Rhinolophus ferrumequinum: one gene and its partner. The main gene of each other region encodes a partner of the protein of the gene in region 2 in a complex. Links are inferred from orthologs where the notes say so. Each region holds a gene or a part of one and is shown on either strand. Other genes may lie near its edges.

What was found.
Region 1: the proteins of FLT3 (region 2) and FLT3LG are in contact, whole or in part, in a crystal structure (PDB 7QDP), measured with the Homo sapiens proteins. The link is inferred for Rhinolophus ferrumequinum from reciprocal best matches to the Homo sapiens genes FLT3 and FLT3LG. Residues at the interface, in NP_004110.2 of Homo sapiens: Asp180, His279, Gly280, Phe281, Gly282, Met300, Ser301, Thr302, Tyr303, Asn306, Arg307, Met309, Arg311, Ser333; in NP_001191431.1 of Homo sapiens: His34, Ser35, Pro36, Ile37, Ser38, Ser39, Asp40, Lys44, Lys87, Glu99, Asn102, Thr103, Glu104, His106, Phe107.

Annotation. Positions count from the first base shown.
Region 1 is NC_046298.1:44,623,697-44,627,611, reverse strand, and holds the start of FLT3LG (fms-related tyrosine kinase 3 ligand), read right to left. Parts: upstream 2,569-3,915; 5' UTR 1,749-2,568; intron 1,283-1,748; exon of another isoform or gene 1,134-1,282; coding exon of another isoform or gene 1,120-1,133; intron 941-1,119; exon of another isoform or gene 827-940; intron 510-826; coding exon of another isoform or gene 476-509; coding exon 443-475; intron 1-442. UniProt on the Homo sapiens protein: Stimulates the proliferation of early hematopoietic cells by activating FLT3. Synergizes well with a number of other colony stimulating factors and interleukins. Required for the development of B cells, and dendritic cells (DCs).
Region 2 is NC_046287.1:100,000,011-100,003,925, forward strand, and holds the start of FLT3 (receptor-type tyrosine-protein kinase FLT3), read right to left. Parts: upstream 2,554-3,915; 5' UTR 2,352-2,553; coding exon 2,309-2,351; intron 1-2,308. UniProt on the Homo sapiens protein: Tyrosine-protein kinase that acts as a cell-surface receptor for the cytokine FLT3LG and regulates differentiation, proliferation and survival of hematopoietic progenitor cells and of dendritic cells.

The DNA of each region.
Region 1 (3,915 bases), on a different chromosome or scaffold from region 2:
TCTTCTCTGTGTACCCCTCTGCCGTTCTGTGCTCATCTCTCCATTGGGGTCCCATCTTCCCCATTTGTACCCACCTCCCTGTTTCTTCCCCCAACCCCTGTCCATCTCTTCCCACCTCTGTCCATCTCCCCCACTTCTGTCCATCTCCCTCCACTTCAGTTCATCTCCCCCCACCCGGTCCATGTCCCTCCATCTCCATCCACCTCCCCTACCTGTCTGTCTCTCCCACTTCTGTCCATCTCTCTCCACTCATCTGTCTCCCTCTACCTCTATCCATCTCCCCCACTCCGGTCCATCTCCCCATCTCTGTCCATCTCCCTCCATCTCTAGCCGCCCCTCCTCCCCCTGTCCATCTCCCCACTTTTCTGCACCTCCCCTCTCAGCTCTGCCCATCTTGACACTGCCCTGCCTTTCCCCTACTTTGTCCCCCAGGTATACGCACTGTTGGGTTCCAGGCTGGCAGCAGCACTGTCATCTCGGCCGGGGGCCCCTCATGCCTGTGGCCAGATCTTGCAAGGGACAGAAGAGCAAGTCTTGGACCCCCACACCCCAGTCCCTTCCTCTCCCGCCCCTTAACCTCCCTACCCCTCCCTTGGCCCCTTGATGTGGTCAAGTTTCTGCCTCTTTCTCCCTCGGGCTTCCTGCATGCGCCCCAGTTACGGTGAAAACTCCGCATCTCTCCTTCTAAGAACCCCGACGTCCGGTCCCCGGAACACTCCCCAGGCAAGGACCCAGGAACCTGACCCCCACCCCTCCTCCCTCAGCCCCAGGAGGGGGACCCCGGCCCCGCCCCTCGGGGACCCGTAGTTCATGTCTCCTCCCGCACCAGGCTTGCCCCAGCTGGGTGTGGAAAGGGCCAGGCCGAGTGACAGCCAGAGATCGAAAGTGAAAGAATATTTTGGGGGGAGATAAATGAGTTGGGGTGGATCTGGTTGAGTCCTGGGACGCCACCTGGTGGTGATAGGTAGCGGCTCACACCGCGAAGAAGGGTGCCTCGTCCTGGGGGGCTGAGTTTGGGTAAACTCCCGGGGTAGGACACACAGTGAATGGGGACTTGGGGTTCGAACCCGGATCTGTCTCCAGTTAGAACCAATGCACATATGGCAAGGAGGAGGTCACCTTGAGCCCCTCATCTTCTCCTTGAACCCCAAAGTCTTGGCGTGGACTTGTGACTGTTTCTCACTGCCCACGCATAGTCCAGTCCATTCGCAAATCTGTTGGCTGACCGTCCAAATGCATCCAGAATCCGATCAGTTCTCCACCTCCGCTGCCATCACCCGGGGTCAGCCACCATTATCTCCCACCTGAGTATCACAGTGGCCTCCTCACCTCTGTTATTCATATCTCGCCAGAGGGAGCTTATGAAGATCTAAGTCAGCTCACACCCCACCTCTGCTCCAAATCCTCCCATCTCCCACCACATTCTGATTAAAAGACCAAGTTCTCAGTGAGGCCCAAACAGACCTGAAAGATCTAGCCGGGTTCCTTCTCTGCCCTGGCCTCCTGGCGGTGCCTGGGGTAGGCACACTCTGGCCCCAGGGCCTTTGCACTGCCATTCCCTTAGCCTGAATGCCCTCCCCTCCAGATGCCCACAGGGCTCAAACCTCCCCCCCCCCATCCCATTCAGGCCTTTGCTCACACACACAGGCAGAGCCTTCCCCACCACCCTTTTTCAAATTGCACTCCTGCTTTGGTCTCTCCCTTGTCACTTATATATCACCTTCTGACATACCAAGCACTTTACTTACCTTCTTCATTGTCAGTTTTCCCCACGGGGACGTCAGCTCCAGGAGAACCACGGTGGGCGTCTGTTTATTCTGCTGGATCTCCAGCACCTAGAACTGTGCTTGGCTCAGAGCAGGTGTTCAATCAATCTTTGTTGAATGAATAAATGGATCCTGGCCTCTTTCCTTCTTCATTATTGTAGTTTAAAAGAGAACATGTCTGGTCTTTGTCTCTGGTTCCTAGGAGACCACCTCTGAAGTCCTCAGACTTTCCCAGATAAGTGATAGGAGTGTCTTTGTTATTCCTGAGGGGCCCCCTGAAATCACCTGAGTTTATGCTAATGAGGTGACTCAGGATGGGGGTTGGGCAGGCAAGAAAGACCAACGCAAGATTAAAGGGGTTGGGCTTTAAGACATAGGATATCCTAACTTGTGGACCTCCCACCTCCAACCTCCAGGAAAGGGGAGCAGGCTAGACACTGATTTCCACCTCTGCCTCTTGGCTTTGTCCTCTTGTGTCTTCTCCCCTTCTGTCTCTTGTAAGGACACCTGTCATTAGATTTAGGTCCCACTTGGATAACCCAGGATGATCTTCTCTCAGGATCCTTAACTGAATTACATCTGAAAAGACTGTTTTTCCAAATGTCACATTCATAGGTTCAAGTGATGAGGATGCGAACATATCTTTTGGGGGACCACTATTCAGCCCACTAGAGTTCCCCCAAAGCTGTTTCCCACCTGTGGGCCTTTGTACGTGCTGTTCCCTCTGCCTGGGATGCTCTCTGCCACTTTTCTAGCCTAATCAGATACTCATTGTACTTCTAGACTCAATGCAATCACTAATCATCAGGGAAATGAAAATCAAAACCACAATGAGATACCACCTCACATCTGTAGAAAGATTATAAAAAAGACAGGAAATAACAAGTGTTGGTGAGGGTGTGGAAAAAAGGAACCCTTGTGCACTGTTGGTGGGAATGTAAAATGATGCAGCCACCGTGGAAAACAGTATGGAGATTCCTCAAAAAATTAAAACTACCACATGATCCAGCAATCCCACATCTGGGTATTTATCCAAAGGAAATGAAATCAGGATCCTTAGGGGTTTCTGCACTCCATGTTCACTGCAGCATTATTTACAACAGTTAAGACATGGAAACAACCTAAGTGTCCACTGAGGCATGGAGAAAGATGTGACATTATAATATATACATAACATACATATATATTCTTCAGCCACGAAAAGGAAATACTACCATTTGTAACAACATGGATGAACCTGGAGGACATTATGCTAAGTGAAATAAAGCAGACAGAGAAAGACAAACACTGTTTGATCTCACTTCCCTGTGGAAAAGTCAGACTCAGAACCAAAGAGTAGAACGGTGGTTGCCAGGGGTTGGAGGTGTGGGGGAAATGGGGAGATGTCGGTCAAAGAATACAAACTTCCATTTAGAAAATGAGTAAGTGCTGGGGACGTGATGTACAACACGGTGACTATAGTTAATGATACGTATTCTGTATTGCACACTTGCAAGTTGCTGAGAGATCTTAAGTGTTCTCACACACACACACACAAAGGTAATTATGTGACGTCATATGCATAATTAACCTGATTATGGTAACCATTTCACAATGCTATGTATATTAAAGCATCAGGTTGCACACCTTAAAAAAGCATATTGTACAATGGAAATATATACAATTTTGTCAATCATACCTCAACAAAACTAGAAAAACAAAAACCCTCAGTGTAAATAGCATGGTCCTTGGGAAGATTCCCACCACCTCTCTCACCCTCATCCCACATGAACATGAGTGCACACGTACACACACGTGCGCACACGCACACACACACACAGTCAGGCTAGGTATGGTGCCTACTCTGGGCCCCCAGAGTACCCTGACCGTCCTCTATTATAGTACACATCACCTTAGGTTATGTCTGTCTTTCAACCAGAGTTGAGCCTACCTCTCCTCTGATCACAGACCCTCTATGGCTCCCTAGTGCCCTTGAGACAAATCCCAGCCTCTGCTGACACCTTGATTTTCGCTCAGTGAAACCCATGTCAGACTTCTGACCTCCAAAATTATAATACTCTTGTTTCATTTAAGCCATTGACTGTGGTAATTTGTTACAGCAGTGACAGGAAACTAATACACCTTTCACCCACTAGAACATAAGCTCCAT
Region 2 (3,915 bases):
TATCATATTTACTGAAATCTTGAAGTCCTCCCCTTTCTTATCCAGCACCAGCACACAATGCAGTGAAGGCCATGGCCAGTACATTTCTGTACATACTTCTTAGAAAGACTCAGCATTCATTATTCATGAAAGGTAGAGCTTACAATATCAGGGAAATGGGGATCGAATATTATACTTTCAGGAATTTAGAGCTTTTAGACATTTTTAAATTTTTCCATTATGGTTGCTATTCAATAATGTTTTATATTACTTTTGGGTGTACAGCATTGTGGTTAGACAAAGCTTTTACACGTTTTAAAGCCCTCACTTTTAAGCTCCTCATTTTGTGTTTCTTTATTAAAAAAAATCTGTACTACTGGGTGTTGGCAGTGATGCGAGGGACTGGAAACCCCCATATACTGCCAGTGGGAATGTAAACTGGTACGACCACTATGAAAAACTGTTGGACAGAGTCCAACAAAACTGAATATACACCTTCCCCTATAATACTCGTGGGTATCATCCTAGGAGAAATGGGAGTTCATGTCCACCAAAAAATGTGCCAAAGAATGTTCACAGCACTATTATTCATATTACACAAAACTGAAAATAACTTACATGTTCAACAAGAGAATGGATAAGTTGTATAGTATATTCATATTAAGGACTAGTACCCAGCAATTAAAAAAATTACCACTGCTGCTGAGAACAAGGTTGAATCTCCTAATCACAATATTGAGTGAAAGAATCTGGACATAAAAGAGTATATCATGGTGGTCTGGTTTACATGAAGTTCAAAAACAGGCAAACCAATGGTATAAGAAGTCGAAATAGTGGCTACGTTTGCAGGGTACTGACTGAAACAGGGCGGAGCTAGACTTGCTCAAAACTTGGTCCAACAGTGATTATGTGGGTACATACATACCTGTATGTAAAAACTAATGAAGTTGCACTGTTAAGATTTGTGCATATTTGCTATATGCAAATTATACCTCATTTACAAAAATCTGGAGAGAGATGTCAAAATCTGGGGGCTCATTCCTAAATAAAGAATTCAATGCAGCTTAAATATAGTTGCAAATACTGATCTTTACTTTTCCAAAGCCTTTGTGTGCCACCGAAAAACTCACTTATCGGTGTCATACCTAACAGAAAGTTAACTCTTTTTATTCATAGACTGAAAAACATATTGTACTATGCATTTGAAATGTACCTATTTACCAACTAGTAAATCTGTTTCAGAAATGCAAACTGTCTGTTTTCCCACTTCTTTCCTCCTTATGTTACGTTTCTTACTCTGTAATTCTGAATGATGTGTAACAACAGCTTTGGACATACTTCCTGCACGTCTATATCGGAAATCTTTTCTCTCTTTACCACAGAGACCTTAAGTTAGAACCCTAGAATGTGGGAGCTGTGGGTGCCGCTTCCAAGACTGTAGAAGGAGAATAAGGGACCCGAGGCTCTCGGTCTCCCAGAACTCTGTCTCCTTCATCCCAAACTCCAGAGTCAACCATCTCATCTTTCCAAACGGATGGAGTGGATCTTTTAGAAAGGGTTATTTATTTATTTGTTTATTTATTTATTTATTTATTTATTTAGTAGTAATCACTATGCTACCCAGCAGATTATTTGGGAACCGTCACCTGAGTCCTTGAAAACTCCCTTGGGGTTTAATGCCAGGATAAAAATCCAGTAGAGGAGGAAGGGGCAGCTAGTATTTTAATATGCAAATCCTCTTTGCATAACATTTCCAAAGTCACTACTCGTTGACCCAACCGAAACTTGGCGTGGGTAGGGGTCGTTATTACGAATGAGTCTCTTCGGGAAAACGCGGGCGAATTTTCCAATCAGAGTTCACTCCACACATAAAAACCCCAAAAGAAGAGCTGAAAGACGCCACCCGGGAGCCTACGATATCCAGGGTCGGTCCTGGCGAGGTCCCGAGCCAACCGGCGCCAGCCTGGGGGTCCCAGACGCTGGCGGATGGCCCAGCACCCGAACCGAGCGGGAGCGCAGGCGGCGGAGCGGCCCCGGCCCGGGGCAGCGCCTCGGCGAGGCCGCCCGCGGAGTCCGGGCCGCAGATCCGGACGCGACCCGAGCCGGGCAGCGACTTTAGAGAAGAGGCAGGAGGATATGGGGTGGGCAGGACGGGGGCCGCGAGCCAGTTGAGGGCGAGTCGGGAGGGCGCAACATAGGGGAGGGGCGCGGGCGCGGGGAGGAACGCAGCGGTGGGGACCTGGAGGCGCGCGCCAGGCCACCGTGCGGGCTGGCGGCTGAGGCCGCGCCGGGGGCTATGGGGGCCACGAGCGGGCGGGCAGGGTCTTACCGAGCAGCGGCAGCCGGCCGCCGCGGCGCGTCAACGCCGGCATGGCCTCCGGAGCCCGGGGTCCCCAGGCCGCGCCGGCCCAGCCTGCGATGCCGCCCAGAGCGGCGCGCCCCGCGCTGCAGGTGGCTCGCTTAAGGATGCGCGTCACCGACCGCAAATTCCCTCGGACTGGTGCAAAGTGGAAGGGGGGAGGATCCCTCTCCCCACCCGCAGGGGCCGAGGCAGGCGAGCAGAGGTTGGGCAGAGCCGGCGCAGCTCTTCGGCCGAGCCCACGTGCCCGCCGTGTCCGCAGCCCGCGTTCCGCGCTCCCGGGGCTCCCCGGCGGTGGCGGCGGGGATTGGGCATCGTTTCGCCCGGGCAGTAGCAAGGGCTCTGCCGCTCCGGGTGGGGAGGAGGCACGGCAAGACCGGCCTTACCCCGCGAGTCCCTGAACGTTCTCGTTTGGATCCTGGAGCACGGGGACAGGTCTTTGAGGCCCCAGGATGGGAGATAAACCGCGCTCCACCCGCGGCTCTGGCCAGCGCGCAGGCCAGCAGAGGGTCGCGTTCCGCGCTCGGTGAATCCTGACTGCCCGCTGGTTTCCTTTGTCTCCCCCTCCGTCTCCTAGGATGCCCAGGACCCAGCCAGCAGTGGCAGCAAGAAAAACAGGCTGTTTCAATGTCAACCCAGGCAATTCGGGGGCTAGAACCTGCCATAGAAACAAAAGCAAAACACTGACAGTGCATCCCAGAGGATGTTTTGAATTATCCACTCCGTAGTTCTTGTTCTTCATTACATAGTATTTCAAGTTGAAATTTATTTTATTTGCAATAAATTGAAGATTGGAAAGCTGTGGATGCCAGTTCTGACTCTTGTTAAGCAGCGTTTTGACCTTCACAAGCCATTGCCTTCTCAGAGTCCCACTTTAATCACCTGGAAAGGAGGGGAATGGATCCAATGGTTTATAATGTGTCTCCAAATTCTAGGATTTCCAGGCTTTTAATTATTTTAATCATTTTCTAATAAAGCATGATAATTGACAATGTTCACTCTCGGCCATACAACCCTTTTTCACTACTGTAGTCTATAGAAAAATAATAGACCTTCCCCTACCCCGCAGGCATGACAGAAACTTTAAAGTGTCTACTATGATGCAGCCACCGTAGTGGCAATATGGCAGTTCCTCAAAAAAATTAAAAATAAAATTACCATATGATACACTAATTCTCGTATGTACCCAAAAGTACTGAAAGCAGGGTCATAAACAGATATTTGTGAACCTATATTCATAGCAACATTATTCACAATAGGCAAAAGGTGCAGGCAACCCAGATGTCCATCCAAAGATAAATGGATAAACAAAATTGGATAAATGGATAAAAAAATTAGTATATCCATACAATGGACTATTATTCAGCCTTAAACAGGGAGGAAACTACAACATGGAGGAACCTTGAGGACGTGCTAAGTGAATTAAGCCAGGCACAAAAAGACAAAAACCGTATGACTCTACTTATATAAGGTACCTAGAGTAGTCAAATCCATAGAGAAAGAAAGTAGAAGCTTGGTTGCCAGGGGTTGGAGGCAGAGGGAGTAGAGAGTGGTTATTAAGTGAGGACAGAGCTTCA